3 linked regions of the Arabidopsis thaliana genome follow. Each later gene encodes a partner of the first gene's protein in a complex. Each region holds a gene or a part of one and is shown on either strand. Other genes may lie near its edges.

Region 1 (6,495 bases):
GGTCTCGGTTTCAGAAGTCCCAAAGCTCTTCACTTCGACTTTTAGGCTTCCCAAGTTGAAGTCTCCATCTAATGGAGCCATATAAATTATTAGAGAATTTAGGTTATTGAAATCTGCATGTAACCTATTTGTATTTAGGATCAAGCCCCTGATGTATATCATGCAACTGACCAGTGACCACACCCATTAGCATCTAGTATAACTCTTACATTAGTTTCTTTAGGAAGCTCATATTGCATCTAGCAGCTGTGTTTATTTCCTCTGTATTATTGTGTCTTGAAGCTTAACCAAAGAAGAAAACAGCAATGGCGGAACATCTGCCAATGCAACAAAGATTTCAAGCGGCTTTGAAGAAGATTTTTTTTCCGGTTTTATTTTGTTTATAGCTGAGAATTCCCTCTTGTATGGATTTGATATTTTGAATAAGATCATTTGCTTCTTGGTATTGGTGTTGTATGTCGAATCACTGAGTGTGAAAGTGAGCTTTCTGCTTCGCACCAATTCAAATCCAACTTCGATTCTGTATACAACAAGTATGGCTTATTGCAGAAACGTTTCGTATTTAACCGGTTTCTTCTTTAAACCGCTAAATTTCGGTCCGGTTCAGTGGAATGATTTTGCTTTTGGGTTTAAACGACGCCGTCTCCAAGCCTCCTCTTATTTTTGGATTAGGGCACAATTGACGGAGGAACACAGCGGTTTCTCTTCTCAAATCTCTCACAAAAATTTCATCAAAGGTTTCGACTTTTTTTGATTTGGTAGAAGAAGATGCCACCTTCGGAGGATGTGAAAGCTATGAAGATGAAAGAGGAGGCTGAGGAAGACAATAAGAGCTTGAGTTCCTTTGCGAAGAAGAAACCCACGAACGGTAACAATGCTGGTTCGAAGAAATTGAAGAAAGAAGAGAACGATGACGATGATGATGATAACAAACCTATCAAGTCATCTGTATCTGGGTCTCGAGCTAAGCCAGTGAAGAAGAAGGAAGAGATTGATAAAGACGATGAGAAGAAGCCTGTTTCTAAGAGGAATTCTTCTGTTGGTGTCTCAAAGGTTCGATTTTTATTTCTTTCTCTCTCTGTTTGAGTATAAATATTGAGGATGGTAAAATATTTGATGAGGCATTGTTTTGATTATGAGTCTCTCTCTTTGTTTATAGGAGAATAAGAAACCAGAGAAAGAAGAAGAAGTAAAGAAAAAGAGAGAAAGAAAAGTATATGATTTGCCTGGTCAGAAGAGAGAGCAGCCTGATGAGGTATTTTTTTGCTGCTCTGTTTCTCTGCTTTTTAGATTTGTTGTTGAATTCGTCTGAAGAATTTCTTTTGTTGATTTTGCAATTCTGCAGAGAGATCCACTTAGGATTTTCTACGAGTCACTTTACAAACAAATTCCCACTAGCGACATGGCTCAGATTTGGTAAGCTCTTCTATTCCTTTCTCTGCCTTACATTGTTCTGCAACTTTAAAACACTTACACTTAATGTTTTGTGTTTGGTATGTATCTGATTATTTGTGTTTGATCACTCAATCTGCAAACTGAGTCCTACACCTTAAATTATTCTTTTGGGACTTGATGCATACTTGCGTTTGATTTTCGATGGTCTCTTGTGTTTTGCGACACGGTTTAAGCTAGTTCGCATAAATTTTGAACATCATAATTGGACTCACATTGTATGTAAGAAAGGGGAGTCCTTTCAAACCAGTCACTCAAAGCATTGATTATATGATCTGTGATGGTTATGTGTAATATTTGCTTTTAGATTGCTTTGTTTATTTGAAAACCCTTTTGTGGTTTTGATCACAGGTTGATGGAGTCTGGATTGCTTCCAGCCGAAAAAGCAAAGAAAGTTCTTGAGAAGAAACTGCAAAAGGGTGGAAAATTAAGTTCTCCAGTAAAATCTGCTGCTTCTACTCCAAGAAGCAACTCCAAATCAGTGACCGTGAAGAAGAAGGAAGTACAAAAGTCGCCATCTGAAGCTTTGTCAAACAAAAAGAAGGGAAATGATTCGAAACCAACCACGAAGAAGAGGAAGAAGAACTCTGATGATGACGACTCAGATGATGATTTTTTGGCTAGCAGAGTCTCTAAAAAGGCTAGAGCCAAGTAGGTTGAATTAAAAGACTGAAATCTCATTGTGTTATTTGTAATCGTTTCTTAGGGAGTCAATTTGTAGAATGCTTGAAAGGTGAATTCTTTAAGAGTAATGAGAGAGATGGCCAATTGTTTCTGATCTTATCGTGTACTTCTTTAGTTATTAAGCAAAGACTTAATCACGTTTGGTTTAGAGCATGATAGTTACTCTTCGTCCATGTCACTACTTTGTAACCTCGTCATTCTGACTAGCGAAAAAGCCGTTGAACTGATCTTTGAGGCACTTTTCCTTGGAGCTTTAGTCTTCGATATGACTCTCTGATATGGCAAGGTCTAATAGGTCCTGATTCCTTCCTTTCCCTCATAACAACTCGAGCTGTTTCCACAAGGTCGCCAACAAACATCTTTGCGATACCACGCACAACGATGTTCATAGTGTCGTCCATCTTCGGACCCCCTGTGATTCTCTGTACCAACTTCTCCATGTCTGATTTCTTAAAACCAGATCTTCTGAAAGATTCATATCTGCTCATTTGTTCCTCTGTAAATTGTGATAAAATCTTCTGCATCTTGTTGGCTCTAGTCACAGGATCAGCACCAGTTATGTTTTTGGTGAACTCAACTTCATCTTTGTTCTTCGCTTCAGCAACAACGGACGTTTTACATTTCTTCACAGCTCTCTCATCTCCTTCAAGAGTCTGCTCGGTTTCAACAGGTGATTCCTCTTGCTCCTCCATTGCTGCTTCAAACGGATCCTTCGAATGCTTCATTCTTAATAAAACCTTAACGAAAATCACATATCTTTGGATCTTAAAACTCCAAAATTCAGCCAATTTTTTTGTTGCACATCCGACCACACTAGAAAAAATCCGACATGAACATGAACTCAAAGAAATCAATTTTTTGTACTTGTAATTACAAGTACCTTGGCACTGGCTGATCTTTCAGACAATTGCAGTTACAAGTAACCCGCTCGTTGCTACTAGCAAAACAACAAGACCTTGCGTTAAAGGCCATTTATTGTCAAGCCTATTTTTTAAGAAGCCCAAATGTAAAAGTCGGTGGGAAATGAAGTATCTTTATTTATAGAGGCAAAAGTTTAGCTTCCTTTATACTAATTTACTCGATGTGGGACAATTGAGAGAAGTGTAAAATTTATATACTACACAGTAGCTTGAGAAGCAAGGACGTATTATCTCAAATGGAAAATACAAGACACCCAAAATAAATGGAAACTTCAAACTTTCTTTGAACAAATTACTCAAACAAAAAACACATTTAAACAAATTTCCCATTTTTTCAATGTTTTTCAATCAAATTTAAATAGAGAGATTTCCAAGAGTCGTTTCCTTGTCTTTTAAGTAAAATGTTTGATTTGGTGGATCAAGTCTCATAATCTCCCTCCTCTTCTTCTTCAACATCATACTCACCTTCCTCATCAGCAGTAGCATCTTGGTACTGTTGGTATTCAGCGACCAAATCATTCATATTGCTCTCAGCTTCCGTAAACTCCATTTCGTCCATTCCTTCTCCTGTGTACCAATGCAGAAACGCTTTACGCCTAAACATAGCCGTGAACTGCTCACTCACTCTCCTGAACATTTCTTGAATCGACGTCGAGTTACCCACAAACGTCGCCGCCATTTTGAGCCCCTTTGGTGGGATATCACAAACGCTGGATTTCACGTTGTTTGGGATCCACTCAACGAAGTAAGACGAGTTCTTGTTCTGTATGTTTAGGATTTGCTCGTCGACTTCTTTTGTGCTCATCTGTCCTCTGAAAATAGCAGAGGCTGTGAGGTAACGTCCGTGACGTGGATCAGCTGCACACATCATGTTTTTGGAGTCCCACATTTGTTGAGTCAGCTCAGGAACGGTGAGTGAGATGTATTGTTGCGAGCCACGGGAAGTGAGGGGCGCAAAACCCACCATGAAGAAATGGAGACGAGGGAATGGGATTAGGTTCACCGCGAGTTTCCTGAGGTCAGAGTTTAGTTGTCCGGGGAACCTTAAGGAGCAAGTCACACCGCTCATTGTTGCGGAGATCAAATGGTTCAAGTCTCCAACTACATCATCATGCAATGTATCAGAATTAGTTTTAAATACATTTTGGGTTAATGGAGGATAAGAATTGGGTGTACTTACAGCTAGGAGTGCTGAGTTTGAGGGTACGGAAGCAGATATCGTAGAGAGCTTCATTGTCGAGGACCATGCATTCATCAGCGTTCTCTACAAGCTGATGGACAGAGAGAGTTGCATTGTAAGGCTCAACGACTGTGTCAGAGACTTTAGGAGATGGGAAAACAGAGAAAGTGAGCATCATTCTGTCTGGATACTCCTCTCGGATCTTCGATATCAATAGTGTTCCCATTCCTGAACCTGTGCCTCCTCCCAACGAATGGCACACCTGAAACCCTGTAAAATAATGCAGCCCCATGATTCACATAGTATTGGTTCCATCGATGAGACGAAAAAGTGTTCATATATAGTCAAGCAAACATCTTGTTACTAGTCCTTGCTAACTAAATCAACTATAATGTTTATGTGAATCTACAATGCTTTAAAACAATAATCAATGAATCTACAATATGCGTTAAAAAATATTTCTCCCCAATAATAACAATGCACACTAGTAGTCATAGACTCATAGTTATAATTGAAGTTAAATAATCAATGTATAAAACGAATCACGTGAGACCTGACCAAAAGTAACTAAAAAAACGAATCACGTGAGATTGTTGTTTGGGCTCCACAAGCATTATCTATAAACTCTAAAGGCAAAAGAGATTTTTATTAACTTTTTACTACAAAATTCCAAGAAATCTATATGATGTAGTAGGACCACTCCATCTTTTATCCCGTAATCACGGTGCCTTGAAAATGTTTTGATCACGACATCACAATGATATAATATCTTATCTCTGAAGCTTTAATATGAAGAAAAAAACTTGACAAAAAAATATCTCAATACTATACAAAACAGCTTGGCCCTACCAATAATAAGTGCTAACATCCCACTCCACAGAAAACAGCACTTGCATTTCAATTATTTCGTTGCTGTCTTGCAATTACATTAAATAAGACGATTTGATTGATCGTATTACTGAATAAGAACCCACATGCACTGATGCACACCAATAATAGATAAACAAGATCATCAAAGTAAAAAAAAAAAGAATAAAAAAAACATACTATAGTACACTTACTAAACCGTGACCTAATTTTACTAATTATGTAGATAGATATCATACTATATTACAAGAAGAGATCTATGGTGATAAACGATTATCGATACGGTGACGTCAGACAAATTACGAATGAAATGATTATTGAATCAAACTAAATCCAGTAAATATACGAATTATGATGCACGACATCAAACACTATAGAAAATTTGCGTATAATGGAAAATTCAGAAAAAGATATATATAGTACCTTGAAGGCAATCGCAGTTCTCAGCTTCTTTACGAACAACATCAAGAACAGCATCAATAAGTTCAGCACCTTCAGTGTAATGACCTTTAGCCCAATTATTACCAGCACCAGACTGACCAAAGACAAAGTTATCAGGACGGAAGATCTGACCAAACGGTCCGGATCTGATACTATCCATAGTACCAGGCTCAAGATCCATAAGAACAGCACGAGGAACGTATCTTCCACCTGAAGCTTCATTGTAATAGACATTGATACGTTCAAGCTGGAGATCTGCAGTGTCTCCACTGTAACGTCCGGTGGAATCGATGCCGTGCTCGTCGCAGATGACTTCCCAGAACTTGGAACCAATCTGGTTACCGCATTGACCACCTTGAATGTGAAGGATCTCTCTCATTGTGTTAGTGTGTGTAGTGGTTCACAAGATCGAGAGAGAGAGAGATGGTGAAGGAATATGAAAGATGGGAGTGACAGCTAATATAACCAATTGTCTCTGTTATTCATCACTTCCCTCGCTTGCGAGGTTTTTATTCTCTGTTTTTTTTCACCCCACCTAACACTTTTTTATCTTAGTCATTTTACATTGTCTTATTCACTCAAAATTTACCGCCGAAAGGTTTTTAGATTGGCATAATTTCAGATTTCAGATTCAGTGTTTAATTAGCAACTTGGAGCATGCATGTGCATATATTGCCAATGTATGTTGTTGACATGTTGTATACACATGAATATGTCTATACAAAAACAAGCTTTATAATATATTTTTTCCCAGTTGTAGAGTAGAGATATGGGAGCACGTTATGCAAAATTGTATTATTGAAAAAATTGTATTTTTTTCATTAATGTAGTTAAATTGTTTTCATATAATAAATTGTGTGTTAAAAATAAGGAAGAAGAAAGTAATCTATACAAAAATTTATAACTTTCAATTTCAGAACTAGATCTAGTAAAGTCATACATGGGCCAGAC
Region 2 (7,870 bases), on another chromosome or scaffold:
TTTCTATTTCAGAGATGATGATGATTAGGGAATGTGAAGCCCAAGCCCAATTTCTAAACACCGTGTCGTTTTGATAGCTAAATAACAGTGAGATGCTGAGTCGTGAAACGGCACGCAGTGTTTTGTTTTTTTAAACATTGAATTTCTCGGCCCGACATTATCGTGGAAGTACGAGATTCACTGGATTTGATGGCTCGTCGGCTGTTTCTCCTCCTCCTCGCCGTCACGGCAGGGTTGAGCTTGACGGGAACAACCGTCAGAGCAGTTGGCATAAATTGGGGGACAGAAGCGTCGCACCCTCTTCCGCCTTCAAAGGTTGTAGAGCTTCTGAAATCAAACGGCATTGTCAAAGTGAAGCTCTTCGATGCCGACCCAAAAGTTCTCCGAGCTCTCTCTGGTTCTAATATTGGTGTCACTATCGGAATCCAAAATTCGATGCTCAAGAGCTTGAATGCATCCGTAAAGGTAGCAGAGAGCTGGGTACATGACAATGTCACTCGTTACTTCAACGGTGGAAACAGAGTTCGAATCGAGTATCTTCTTTCTCCTTCTCTTCTGCTTATCCAGTTATATATATATAGATTTAAGATTTTTAAGCTGGAATTTAACTTATGGAATGTGAATGAGTCGGATTTGTTTCAATGCCAAATTGCCAATCTTCTTATTGTGAAATTATCATTAAAGAAAAGAATTGATTTTCAGGTATGTAGCAGTTGGAGAAGAGCCATTTCTCCAGAGCTATGGCAATCAGTATAAGCCTTTTGTGATTGGGGCAGCTATGAATATCCAAAATGCTTTAGTTAAGGCGAACTTGGCAAATGAAGTGAAGGTTGTAGTCCCCTCAAGCTTTGATTCCTTTCTTTCTGAATCTGGTCGACCTTCTTCAGGACACTTTAGGGCTGACCTCAACAAGACGATGATTGAACTCCTCTCCTTTCTCACAAAGCACCACTCTCCTTTTTTTGTGACAATCTCTCCTTTCCTAAGCTTTCACCAGAACAAGAACATCTCCCTTGACTTTAGCCTCTTTAAAGAAACAGCAAAGGCTCACAAAGACGGACGTAAAACCTACAGAAACAGCTTTGATCTAAGCTATGACACACTTGTCTCTGCATTGTTCACAATTGGGTTTTCGGAGGTGGATATCGTTGTGTCAAAGATCGGTTGGCCTACAGATGGAGCAGAAAATGCAACATCACTGACTGCTGAGGCGTTCTTTAAAGGACTGATAGTTCACTTGGAGAAAAAGACGGCCTCTCTCCCGCGTCCTCCTGTTGAAACCTACATTGAAAGTCTCTTGGACGAAGATCAGAGAAACTTATCTGCTGGGAACTTTGAGAGGCACTGGGGAGTGTTCACTTTCGACGGTCAAGCCAAATACAATTTCAGTTTCAACCATAAGAATCAGGTAAACGCGCAGAATGTTCAGTACCTTCCTCCTAAGTGGTGTGTGGTGAACAATAACAAGGACTTGTCAAACGCGTCAGCAAGAGCATTAGAAGCGTGTGCTGTTGCGGACTGTACATCGATACTTCCTGGCGGGTCGTGTTCAGGCATCAGATGGCCAGGCAACGTTTCATACGCGTTCAATAGCTTGTACCAGCAAAATGATCACAGTGCAGAAAGCTGCAACTTTGGTGGACTTGGTTTGATCACTACTGTTGATCCTTCTGAGGATAATTGCCGGTTCTCGATTCAACTTGACACTTCTCATTCATCTTCGCAAACTCCAAATTTCTTTCAGAGCTGGCCTCTCCTCTTATTGTTCCTACTGTCCGGACTCTTTTAAAGTTGTAGTTATAGCAAAATTTTGGTGGATTTTGCCTCTAATTTCTCTCTAATAGCCACATTTCAAAACTGTATTGGGCTACGTAAAAAATAACTGTTATTGGGCTGGGCCTTCGTAAAGGTTAGATGATTATGGGCCTTAGAACCATGTTGTCTTATTTGATAAAAAAAGCAAGTCCAGTTATTTTGGGAAACCGGTCGGTAAAAGATAAGATGTAAAAGAATTTAAGATTTAAGATAAATGCAATAATAAAGTTCCACTATTTTTGAGAGAAATATAAATAAAACGCGAGATTTTTTATTCTACGTCTAAAAAGGCTCTCACACGATTCGTTAAGAGTTTTGGTCTGTTGTTTATCGCAAACCCTAGGTCATGGCTGGGATGTACAATCAAGACGGCGGCGGAGGTGCGCCTATTCCGTCGTACGGTGGTGATGGATACGGCGGAGGGGGAGGTTATGGAGGTGGTGATGCTGGATATGGTGGACGCGGTGCCTCTGGCGGAGGTAGTTACGGCGGACGCGGTGGTTACGGTGGAGGCGGTGGTAGAGGAAATCGAGGTTTGTGATTTAGATTGTTGCAGATCTGATTGATATAACCTTATGATTCTTTAGATTTCTCCATTCCTTGCTGAGCTACTTTTGTTAAATCTTTAGTTTCTCACTATTTCGATGATTCGTTTTGATTTAGGCGGTGGAGGTGGTGGATATCAAGGAGGTGATCGCGGTGGAAGAGGAAGTGGCGGCGGAGGCAGAGATGGAGATTGGCGTTGTCCCAACCCCAGGTAATGATTGCAAATTATTTGGGATTCCATTCTTTCTGCATATGTAATGAATTGAATTAGCTGTTGAATTCCTTTGTGGGAGCATGTTTTGAAATTGTTTACCCTCGAAACTGTTTGTATAGTTGTGGGAACGTGAACTTTGCAAGGAGAGTTGAATGTAACAAGTGTGGTGCACTTGCTCCTTCTGGTACTAGTTCTGGTGCTAATGATCGTGGAGGTGGTGGATATAGCCGAGGTGGAGGTGACAGTGATCGTGGGGGTGGTCGTGGTGGTAGAAACGATAGTGGTAGGAGCTATGAGAGTAGTAGATATGATGGTGGAAGTAGGAGTGGTGGTAGCTATGGTAGTGGTAGTCAGAGGGAAAATGGTTCGTATGGTCAGGCTCCTCCTCCTGCTGCAGCTATTCCATCCTACGATGGTTCTGGAAGTTATCCTCCACCCACGGGTTATGGAATGGAAGCTGTTCCCCCGCCTACAAGCTATTCTGGTGGCCCGCCGTCATATGGTGGTCCACGAGGGGGTTATGGCAGTGATGCACCGAGCACTGGTGGTCGTGGTGGTAGGAGTGGCGGCTATGATGGTGGTAGTGCTCCTCGACGGCAGGAAGCTAGTTATGAAGATGCAGCTACTGAAAAAGTCAAGCAGTGCGATGCTGATTGTGATGATAATTGTGATAATGCTAGAATATACATCTCTAATTTACCTCCGGATGTGACAACTGATGAACTCAAGGATCTCTTTGGTGGCATTGGCCAAGTAATAACACTGGTCTTTTACTTCTGTTGTGTTTTATATCTTGGAATAAGCCTTTCCCTTGCTATAAGTTATTAAGTTCTTGTTTGTGTACATGTTTATTGGTGTGCTGATAAAGTGTGTCTGGTTGGATCTATTTTAGGTTGGAAGAATTAAGCAGAAGCGTGGTTACAAAGATCAGTGGCCCTATAATATTAAGATTTACACTGATGAGAAGGGTAACTATAAAGGTGACGCCTGTCTGGCTTATGAAGATCCCAGCGCTGCACACTCTGCAGGCGGCTTTTTCAACAGTATGTACTATGGAATTGCTGTCTAGCTTAAAATTGTTTAAAAGTTCTGTTTCGTGAATGGTGGTGGATTGTTTTGTAGATTACGAAATGAGGGGGAACAAGATTAGTGTAACGATGGCAGAAAAGTCTGCGCCCCGTGCTCCTACCTTTGACCAGAGGTAGCTGTCCTGATCATTTATCAGCATTCTTTTTTGTTACCATTTAGCTGTTACCACCTGCTCCATCTTATAGGTGTTTGTACTCTAGTTGTTTTAGGCTTTTAGCTTTATAATTTTAGTAGGGAATATGAGTTTTTGCAATGCTAAGTTTATGTTCCTTGTCTCTGAAGACTGTTTGGATCTTGTATCCTACTGGGGATTTGCTTTGTACACTCATCTGGGTATGACAGAAAGGGTTGGGAGTTCGTATGTCATCAAATTATGCCTTAGGTCTATGTTCATGCCATAGGAAATAAATCTATGTAGTTATCTTGTAACCTATAGCTGTGGCTGCTCTTGGTTGTGAAGAGATCTGTTGTTTGTTCATGCTTCTTATAAGCTCCTAGTAATTCCCCATATAAGTTGTATCTTTATCTGGTTTTCCATGCTCTATAAGACTCGTCTTTGTTGTGTGTTGAGTCACTTCATCTTACGTAGTAAGCTGGTTTTAATTAGAGATGTCTGTGTCTGATCTAATAATGTTGTCCTTGCAAACTTGTGAATGTCGCAGAGGTGGGGGTAGAGGAGGAGGAGGTGGTGGCTATGGTGGTGGTGGGGGAGACAGAAGAAGAGACAACTACAGTTCAGGGCCAGACAGAAACCACCATGGGGGAAACCGGTCTCGTCCATATTGAGAGAAAGAGAGGAATGAATGAATCAGCTGTTATGTGTTCTAAGAGTTTTGTGTGTGTTAAGGAGGGAATTTTAGTAAAATGTTCTATGAATCCTCATATTGGAGATACAAAAAAAGAGGTAGGTTTTTGTTCACTTTGACCTTGAGCAAAATTACCCCTTTTTTCTCCCTACTTGTTCTGTTTCTTTGGGGATCTATTATTCATGCATCTCCGGTTTATTTTTAGTTTGTTTTTCACGATGTGAAATGTTTGTTTTTTGTTTTATTGAAGGAAGCTGATATTTAACTGCAAAATGCATTGCAAATTGGTGCTATGATGATTTCAGGTGAGTGCATTCATCTTGATTACTTCTTTCAACACCAGAAGTCCCTTTTTTGCTTCTCTTCCTTCTTTTTTTGACTCTGTTCAACACAAACAAAACAGTCGTATGTTTTCATGTTGTATTGTGTAATGCATTCATTTAGGCAACCACACTTCTCTTTACAATTTTCGGAGTTGTTATCGTTTTTTCTCGCAAACTTCTTTTATAGCAACATGTGTTCCTCGAGAATTGGCAGGAGTGGGGGATGGCTAGGCACTTGTGTCTGATCAGTTGATCTGAAGTATGCAGTGACCTTTCAAAGATCAACTTGATGATTTTATTGCCAACTTCACTCACTGGGGCTATGATTAGGATTAGGGTTTTACAAATGAGTGGCCTTTTTTTGGATAAAAGACGTTGTTAATAAATAGTTAATCGTTCAATCTGGATCCCAAGGACTAAAGAGAAGGGTGTCTCGTAAAGTTCTCTATGTGTATATGTCATGACCTTTTGGTCAAGTGCCGGATTGGCCAACTCTTTAATGTGTTACATGTAACGAAAGTTTATGTTGAAATTATAGGAACAAAAAAGACTAATGCCGAAAATCCCAAGAGAAAGTTTATTAATGACTTGTTGTGTAGAAAATATGGACGAGAGAAAGAATCCAGGAAATTTGGAATCCTGTAACATTAGTTTCAAGATTCCCATTCTCAATTCGACAAAGAGAATCCATCTTCTAACATTGCATATTCACAGCTCAATCGCTGGCTGGCTCTAGCACACGGCGATATTACTTATTTACCATCCCTTTCACACACATATTGGATAATATACATATTCTTAATAAAAGTCCACCAGTAGTCTTAAGCATAAATTTACAAAAAAAAAAAAAAAAAAAAAAAGTAAGGCAGTAACAATGTAATTCTAACAAACTGCTTAGATGTGTGAAATCCAGATATTTGTAAGTTGTAACTTGTAAGACCACACTATTTAATACTTAATGTGTTCTTAACCTCAAATTGACAATACCTGCGATTTTTCTCACTTTCGACACAATTTTCTATATGATTTGAACTTCAACAATTCTATATAAAAAAAGGTAAAATATTTACATGCAAATAATAAACTTACCCATTACCATATCTTGTATACAAGAAGCTAAACGAAGGAGGGAATGAAGTAGGAATCACATATAAGCAAGAAGAAGCTATGGAACTCAGGATGGATAGCGCCAACAGATATACATGTACGCATATACAAAACATACAGCACTGGTGAGCCATGGCGCTATCCCTCCTGAGCTTTATAGCTATTTCTCTACTACTCAATCTGAAATTTACATCCATAGGTATGCATCTTCCTTTACATATGTGTTATAATGTATCATGTATGTTATATGTATTGTAATGTTAAGTACGTATATATATATATAGAGGAGCTTGACCTTGGATCATATTGCTGTATTTATAGTCTCAACTCTAAGCTAAGTGTCCCCATATTACATATTTTGGAAGGTGTACCAATTTTTTATGCATATTCGGCACTTTTAATGCATTCCCATACCCACAATAACTTTATTTCTTTCTTTTATTGTTTACTAAGAAATAGGGAGGTGATAGAGGATAGATTTAGTTAATGTATACTGTATATATCTATAGGGCAATTTGTCAACGAATTACGTCTAATTATAAACTGTTGTGCGACTGCGTCAGATAGGATTTTATGAGTTTTGTTCGACGATGCAAACTCAGCACGGCCACAAGCTAGTCACCGGTTAGACAAGTCCTTGAGATTAAAAGGAAACGAAGGAAATATTTAATGAGATCGATAAGTGAGAATGTATGAAAATAAAAAGGATAAAATGAAATAATCCAGTATGTGGAAGAACGCAAAAAGCGGTGATGCATTCAATATTTGGCGTAGGTGGGATCTCCACTTCTCCTTTATTTCCAAATTTATTATTAGTACGTAGTGACTATTTCAGAATCTTGTAATGTTATCATATCAATAAAATCAATATTTATGTCCACAACAACAACAAAATTTCATGACATCCATTTCATCACAAACGGTTTTCTTGTTTTTGCTTTTGTTTCATATATATTGATTTTATTGTTATTTCTATGTATTCTACATTGATTACGGTAAATGAATTGTGAACTACAAATTATAAATGTATAATTAATAGAATACATTATCTCACACTATAAAAAATAAAATAAAATTATCATTGGTTTAAAACTTTAGAGAAGTGTTTTAAAGTGGAAGATGGTGAGTGTAAAATGAAAATAAAAACGACTAAAAAGACATGTATGAAATGTAGTTTAATATGTAAGAATTCTTTTTAAAACTAATCTTCAAGAAATATAGATCTTGTGTAAAATATATAAAGAGATATGCATGGGAGTTTGTGTTAGCCAGCTACCACGGCCGTACCTTGCACGTCCCGGCGGTCCCTTATGTTATTGCTTCTAAATTCATCCATCTTTTTTTTTTCATCAACTAAACAAAAACTCATCCTATATATAATGGAGAGCACTACATTTATTGCAGAAAGGAGTACAGCAAAATTTAAGGAATGAAGTGAGATTATAATTCTCATCCTTGACCTCACATGTGATTCTTAAAAGAAACTGTAAAAAGTAAAAACAGTAGTATGAAAATAAAGCTAAGAATATCGATCGGTGGTAACATTCCTACATTTCTGTTTTAGTTTCTCATTTAAACATCTTACATTCCTTTCAATCAAAGTATAAACATACATATATAGATTATATATATATTTTTAAATCTTATTTGACAACAACTCTAATTTTAGTCAAAGAGTATAAACTTTCTGTTAGAGAAAAAAAAATGGTTCTCATAAGGTGTGTAACAAAACATATCGTACGTTACATTTTTGATGAATTCTTTAACTCTGATGAAAATATGCGTTTTCAAGAAGAAAGCGGCTATGTTTACGGAGTGAAAAATGTAGATCATGAAGATGAAGTACCACAAAACATATACATTTTTCACATAAAAAACTCATAATGAGAAAATAAAAATAAAGAAAATATGAAGAGTAAGCGAAAACTACAACTACAATTGTTCCCAAAATGACGCACGACCACATCTGT
Region 3 (6,813 bases), 4.9 Mb from region 1:
CCTCTATGCCAACGTGTAGCTTGCTTCCTTTACCCCCCAGGCTCTTAACTATAATTTTCATGGATCCTCGGGTCGGTAACTTTCCTTGCTGTTTAATGGCTAGCTCATTGTCATGTGGATACCATAAAGCTTTGGGCCGGTGAAAATTTGCTATGTCTTTACTGCAACGAGTTAACTCAACACATTTTAATAGAAACTACTAAAATGGATGTAGAAAAGCACATAATTGCATTTGAAGTGTGGAAACATTTTAGAGGACACAAAAGAGTGGAAATAAAAACGATATGCGAGTGACCACTTACTTGCTCAATTTACTCTTCATCGTCTGCAGTTTAATCGCTGGTACTGAATGAAAAACTCTCAAACTATGAACACTGGATTTATTAGTATTTGCCTGCAGTTGCTGAGAGCTTTTCCCATTCATATAAAACTTGTCATTGGAAAGATTAAATTGCCACCCAGAATTTGATTCACAGCCTTCTTGAAAGGTTTCATCCTTGGATTTTGAAGACCGGGATACAATCATAGCTCCAGCATGAAGTTGAAGATTTTTGCTTTCCTCGTTATCGAAAATTTCAAAGACCATTTGCTCATCTTGAAGATCAAAAATTAGTTTAGATCTGCTCAACTCTTTCTCTGAGTCCCATATTATACTATCTAACCATGCCTCATCCCCCAAATCCCTCTCTCGCAATACAAGTCTGCTAAAGCGCCCAAGGGCGTCTTTTTCAAGTCGCTTAATCTTCTTTACTCCAGCTTCATCATTTCCACTAAGATGATTCTCATCCCACTGGGATTCTAATCTTAGCAGTTGTGGATGATGTCTACTTTTGTTAGTGGACTCGTTTGTTGACTGGGAACCTCTTGAGCCAAAAGACTCCAACAGATTGGCAGAAAAAGGCACAAACATATTATTGTCCGCTTGAACTTGCACTCTAGAGTTCACCACATTCAAGCTTTCTTGTTCAGTCTCTGAATTTGTTCCTTTAACCAGCATACCTTCCGGCTCAAGTCCAGGTTCGAAGATCTCACCAGAATTACCACTAATTTCAGGAGAATGTTCCCAAATAATCCGACGTTCCCATTCATGCTGGTCAAGAGGAAAAACTTGCATCGATAATTGAGATTGGCACAGAGATGAATTATCATCTATGAAGTCTTGCTTCAACAGTTCACCCATAATACATGAATCTCTTCCTAGCTTCGTAAATTCTCTTGATTCTGGTGTGATACCACCTATTGTGCTAGCTTTTACCAGCTGTAAACCCTCTCTAATTGGAAAGGGAACATCCAGCTGAATCAGATCAGCTTGTTCTACATGAGTATCAATCCTACCATGGCTCTTCAGGAGTACCTCCTCATCGTCTTCAACAAGCTCAGATATATCCATAGATTTGTATTTGTCTGTACGAAAGAAGTCTATGATGTAAGAGTTCCACATGAAGAAGTGAATTACAAAAAAAAAAAAAAAAGGAATGCTGAGACAACAGAAACGATAAGAAAAGGAGAAAATTGGACAAAACATGGAATTTGCCTGGAAAATTAAATAGAATGAATCACTTCATATTTGTGGCATCGAATACACAGATCTAGCACATTCTTGCCAAAAAGAGACTGAGCCGCATAAAAGGAAAAGGTCTTTTTGTTTCAACACTTAGCCCTTTAGAATTGAAAGGGAAATAAAAAATGGAGAAACGTTTTTTGATGGACAGCACCAAAAAAACTCAATAGGGTTCGAGAAGAAACAAAAAGAGGAAGAACATTCCAGATCACATACCTCTACAAGTGACATATCTATTTTCTCTCCTATCCCGTTTCTGTGGAGGCTCATGGATAGCAAATATCTCGGAGAACTGTAAGATAACCATACCATCTTCCACATACAACGTAGGCAGTGGGGTGGCGCCTTTGTCATCCAATGTACCTTCCAATAACTCATCCACCTCCTCCTGAATGTTTTGATGAGATCACTAACATAACAAAATCATCCCACAGCAAAAATATGTTATTTGAGACACAATTTCCCTTTATTTTGAGGGGAAACTGACCTCCTGGACATCTTCGGTGTCCATATGATCCTCTTTATCCAAGATGCTAGCCTCCTCTTCATACTCCAAGGCCTTGTCTTCCTTTAAGACAACTGCAACGCAATTTTTTTTGTCTTGTTAAGTTTATATTCTCAAGGACTTAAATCACACTAGACTACAGCTTTGCAAGTAATCATTTGCCTGAGCTCAACAAGTATAATTACAGGAAGAATGACTTAACAAAACCAATTTGAGTGATGAGATAACACAACAAAAGTACACTTTACTATGGGATAATTGTTTTGTTCAAGAAACGGAAATTTCGAAATGCAAACCTGGTTCCCTCTTTTCAGTTTCAAGAGATTTTTCAACTGGCGCTTGCTCCTCCTCTTGTTCTTCTTCCTCGTCATAATCTTCATCATCAAACACAGAAGCTCTGGACTTTAAACTACCCAAAGCAACTGCAGTCGAAAAATACTCCTTTTTTGGCAGTAGATGATCTTCCTCACTGACTACTTGAACTTCGGGCCCATCGTACTCTTCATCAATATCCTCATAATCAACAGCATCCTCAGCTTTTCTATCATAATCTACACAACATATCACCACAGTCAATGACGCTGATGACCAGGATTTGGTAGTGTAAATAGTGTCAGTATGTAAATGCTACGGGCAGGAATGTTGCATATTTAAAGATTGTAAACGTGAGTAGTTAAAATGTTTATGCATATAAATTACGCAAGACACTTTCTTAAACAATCCAATAATAATTGGATTATGACTACAACGAAAGTAAGAAGAGTGCAAGACCATTGTGATGGAAACATTCACTGGGAGAAAAACTTTCTAGCAGGTTTCCTAGAAGCTACTCCAGTATGGTTTAAAGAAACGGTAGAATGAAAACTAGAAGTTAAATGAACAATAAAAACTGCATAAGATAGACGACCCTGGCAGACAACATCACCTTGCTCAGCTGGATCACTTGCTGTACGTTCTGATTTTGCCAATAACTGTTGAGTTTAGAAACACCATTATTGGCATCCCAGTACAAGAAAAAGAGGATTAAAAACCACATAAAAGACTCGCAGTTCACTCGTCTATAAACTTTAGAAGATAAAATATTAAAGAGTGTGTAGAACGTTACATTTATATCTGGTAGAGATGAACCCAGCTTATCTGCCAATGCAGAAAGATGTTCTTTGGCGTCCTGAAAAGTTTAAATGTTAGCATTGGCACAGGTATGCTTGGTGGAGAATTTGCAACTCATAGTTAATAAAATACATATATCCTAAGTCCAGAGAGAATAGACAGAAAAACTGAGACCGATAATGAAAATAATGTGTTCAACAAGGTCATCATACTGAAAGCGTAAAACAGATTACCTCATCAAGGTAATCAGCGTCCAAGTCCCCAGAGTTATCAACATTTCCAAAGATGAATCCAAGGTTAAAACCCCTGCTGTTGTCCTCATATTCATCATCGTCATCTGCAGCAGACATGTAAAATATTGGTGTTCACCAAACAAATCTTGGCAGACATGTAAAATATTGGTGTAAAATGGGAATGCATGTGATAACTGATTATCATCACGAGTATTCAGAAATCACAAAGATTGCATGTTAACACTCTTGTTAAACTGCTAAATCCAAGGTCACATAATCATTGGATTCCTCTCCATCATCTTATCAGGCTACAGTAGCCTCCATCTAGTGAAACTACTATTCCCATTCTCTTCGTCATCTAAGATCCTACAAACTCAATTCCCTCTAGAAATTTAGAAAAAATAATCTTAACTATACCCTAGAACATGTCCAGGATCACTCAAGACTGCTCCTTTTCTACTTAAAGAAATCCAAAATATTCAAAACCGTAAATCGGTCATGAGCTAGCCTAAATGCACCAAACACTAGCTAGACAGGGACATCTCTAGTTTCACAAACTGTAGTAATCCAAAATTCCACAACCTAATATTTCCAATCTCTTTGTCAATTAAGATCCTACAAACCAATACTCAGAATCACTCAAGGCTGTTCCTTTTCTACTTAAAGAGACTTAATCCGAAATATTCAAAACCGTAGAACAATCATAAGCTAGACAGGGGCATCTCCAGTTTCAGAAATCATGTCGACAATGGACTGGACCGGAAAAAAGAAAAGCAACAAACTTTGATAAAGAAAGCAACATATATATACCTGAGGAAGTCTCGTTGTGGGAACCCTTGCCATTGGATTCAGCCATATTCAAAGATTTAACTACAATGGTGACAATCGGGAGACGACAAGGCAATTGTCCTTCCCAAATCCCCAACCATTAAAACTCAATCAAAACCTTCAAAAGAAACAAAAAAAACTACACAATTACAAGCCAACCTAAACGGACCTGGAAACAAAAAAAGCTAACTTCTTTATCTGAAACTTCATCAAAAGAGTCTCAATTTGGCTTTAAAATCACAACCAAATCGAAACCCCATTGATCAATTTTCGAGTTAAGCTGAGTTGCAATCAAAGCATTGGATAAAATTGAAGAAGACGATACGATACCATTCACTGATACGAGATTGTTGGATTGGAGGGTTCTTTCTTGAAACCCTAATTGAGGGTACAAGTAAGCTTCGCCGGAAAGGTAAACCAGCTCAATCGGACGAGACGGTACGATGTCGGAGAGAAGTTCCGAGGTAAGCAAACTCTCAAATCGGAGGAAAAAAAAAAGTAATAACAAAAAAAAGAAGAAAATTGCGAAGCGACCAAGACAAGATTGTGAGGGCATTTATAAAAGTTTTATAACCCGACCCGAATAAAGTTTGAGTCCGGGTCTAATTTCTTAACCAGGAAAAATCAATTTCGTTGTTTGGTATGGAGGTGGTTAAGCAGAAATAGAGTCGGTTCTGAAGTAATTTTTGTTGTTGTTTAATCAGTGGTAATTTTACGAATTTAATAGATATATACCTATGATATTTCTTTAAAATATCTTTCTACCAAAATTGCAAAAGAAAATTGAATTTTAAAAGTATTATAAAAACATAACTGTTATAGTTCTACATTTAAATTTTCAATTTTTAATAATATTTTAATCACTTTAATTTTATTTTTTCGATCGACTAACATTCTAATATCCAAATTTAAGGCACACAAGTTTAATTGATAGTTTTATTTTTTTCATCGAATAACATCGGATGTGAAACTCTTTATTGCATACCTTGTACATATATAAAAATCAATAACATGTTGATTTTAATTATATAAAAAAATTTAATATTAAATAAAACCAGATTGAATAAAAATGGATATTAAGAAAATATATAGGTTCTTTTATTTTATGGACCACTGCGTCGGTAACTATGACGAAGTAAAACGGCAGTAGCCGTTAAAAAAAATAAAGTAAAATGATCCATATAGACAGATCGGAGATGTCGCTGAAAAAATAGAAGTGTCGTTGGAAAAAATAGAGATATTGATCTAACAACGTAGGAGTCGTGAAAAATATAGCGGCCTAAATGAACATAATCCAGCTTTTCTTCCATTGTCAGTTTTGAACAACCAGCAACGAATTTTATAATAAATTATGCCATTTATTTCTCATTTCGTTCTTTAATTTTTAGTCATCAAATTTAATCGCAACGACCAATACAAGAAGAACATGGTATAATCATACCAAATCATTGATTCAATATTACCTTATTAGATTTTATAAAATTCATTATCCATTCAACAATTGTACCTCAACATTTTCAAATGTACCTCAACAAGCAATTTTTTCTTTATTTAGTTTAACCTAAACAAGGAATTTATTTTTATTTTTACCATAACCATCATGAACTTTGTTGACTTGTTAAATGTCTCTATCTCCTTCTAACGAAATTATCAAAATCAATTTCTGTTCCTTATACTCCAACCAAATAGTGGTCCTGATTCTAAATCCTAGTTCTAAAATTAAGCCTTGTATTTTCTCTTTTTTATTAACGTAAAATCAAACAAAACAAATATCTCAAATATTTTGTTAAGAAAAAAGAATTCTTTATTCAACGAAAAATATGGATTAAAAAGAACACCAAAGCCACGTGCATTGTCACTTCCCAACTTTAGAAAAATTGTATTTATATAAACAAGTTTTATCTAATTAGCAGTTTTATGTTATTTTGTCTTTAATCTCACTTCACCGTCTCTCTTTCACTCAATCTCCGTGATTCATTTTTTCTCCGACGTTGCTTAATCCTCGAAATCTCCGGCGATGGGTGGTTGCGTCTCCTCCAACCTCCTTACTCCGACCGATGACAGCAGCTTCTCTCACCTCACCAGCTCCTCCTTAAGCCAACATTTCGTCAAGCTAACTTCCACCACTTACGGTCTTCTCAATCTCGACTCTTCTTCACCTTCTCCTCCGTCTCCTTCCTCCTCCTCCTCCGCCAAATCCGTTATCACGCCAATGACTCCGCCTGAGAGATTCACTATCAACGGTAAGGAGGCGGCGATGATGATGGTTAAGTCTGAGCCGACGACGGAGGTTATTAACTTCTGGGAGCTAATGTCAGGTTTAGACGGCGATACTTGTCGATTCTCTCCGATTCCGGTGAAATGTAATGGATTTTCCGGCGGATTAAAGAAAGAGAACTCCGATCCTAATTTGAAAAACCCTAACGATTACGAGGTTTTGAAACCGTTAGATCCGAAATTAGCGGAGGAATCTGAGAGGTTATGTGACGGCGGAGAGAATCGCGTTGTGATTTATACGACGTCGTTGCGCGGTGTTCGACGGACGTTTGAGGCGTGTAACGCCGTGAGAGCTGCGA

What was found. Proteins that work in one complex are often made in the same cells at the same time.
Region 2: TAF11b (region 1) and TAF15b share a complex: the UniProt entries of both Arabidopsis thaliana proteins name them as parts of the TFIID complex.
Region 3: TAF11b (region 1) and HAF01 share a complex: the UniProt entries of both Arabidopsis thaliana proteins name them as parts of the TFIID complex.

The regions. Positions count from the first base shown.
Region 1 is NC_003070.9:6,934,559-6,941,053, forward strand, and holds TAF11b (TBP-associated factor 11B), read right to left. Parts: upstream 3,109-6,495; coding exon 3,017-3,108; intron 2,863-3,016; coding exon 2,340-2,862; downstream 1-2,339. Other genes in the region: AT1G19980 (cytomatrix protein-like protein), read left to right, coding at 1-85; AT1G19990 (nucleolin), read left to right, coding at 769-1,053, 1,160-1,255, 1,346-1,416, 1,804-2,107; TUB5 (tubulin beta-5 chain), read right to left, coding at 3,475-4,157, 4,237-4,506, 5,527-5,923. UniProt on the Arabidopsis thaliana protein: TAFs are components of the transcription factor IID (TFIID) complex that is essential for mediating regulation of RNA polymerase transcription.
Region 2 is NC_003076.8:23,635,146-23,643,015, reverse strand, and holds TAF15b (TBP-associated factor 15B), read left to right. Parts: upstream 1-2,042; 5' UTR 2,043-2,161; coding exon 2,162-2,348; intron 2,349-2,478; coding exon 2,479-2,572; intron 2,573-2,694; coding exon 2,695-3,328; intron 3,329-3,467; coding exon 3,468-3,618; intron 3,619-3,697; coding exon 3,698-3,776; intron 3,777-4,326; coding exon 4,327-4,450; 3' UTR 4,451-4,568; exon of another isoform or gene 4,569-4,720; 3' UTR 4,721-5,601; downstream 5,602-7,870. Other genes in the region: AT5G58480 (O-Glycosyl hydrolases family 17 protein), read left to right, coding at 190-533, 703-1,789. UniProt on the Arabidopsis thaliana protein: TAFs are components of the transcription factor IID (TFIID) complex that is essential for mediating regulation of RNA polymerase transcription.
Region 3 is NC_003070.9:11,851,997-11,858,809, forward strand, and holds the start of HAF01 (HAC13 protein (HAC13)), read right to left. Parts: upstream 4,770-6,813; 5' UTR 4,568-4,769; intron 4,356-4,567; 5' UTR 4,266-4,355; coding exon 4,220-4,265; intron 3,514-4,219; coding exon 3,410-3,513; intron 3,235-3,409; coding exon 3,172-3,234; intron 3,038-3,171; coding exon 2,992-3,037; intron 2,618-2,991; coding exon 2,363-2,617; intron 2,141-2,362; coding exon 2,049-2,140; intron 1,950-2,048; coding exon 1,778-1,949; intron 1,405-1,777; coding exon 303-1,404; intron 162-302; coding exon 1-161. Other genes in the region: AT1G32760 (Glutaredoxin family protein), read left to right, coding at 6,255-6,813. UniProt on the Arabidopsis thaliana protein: TAFs are components of the transcription factor IID (TFIID) complex that is essential for mediating regulation of RNA polymerase transcription. Core scaffold of the TFIID complex.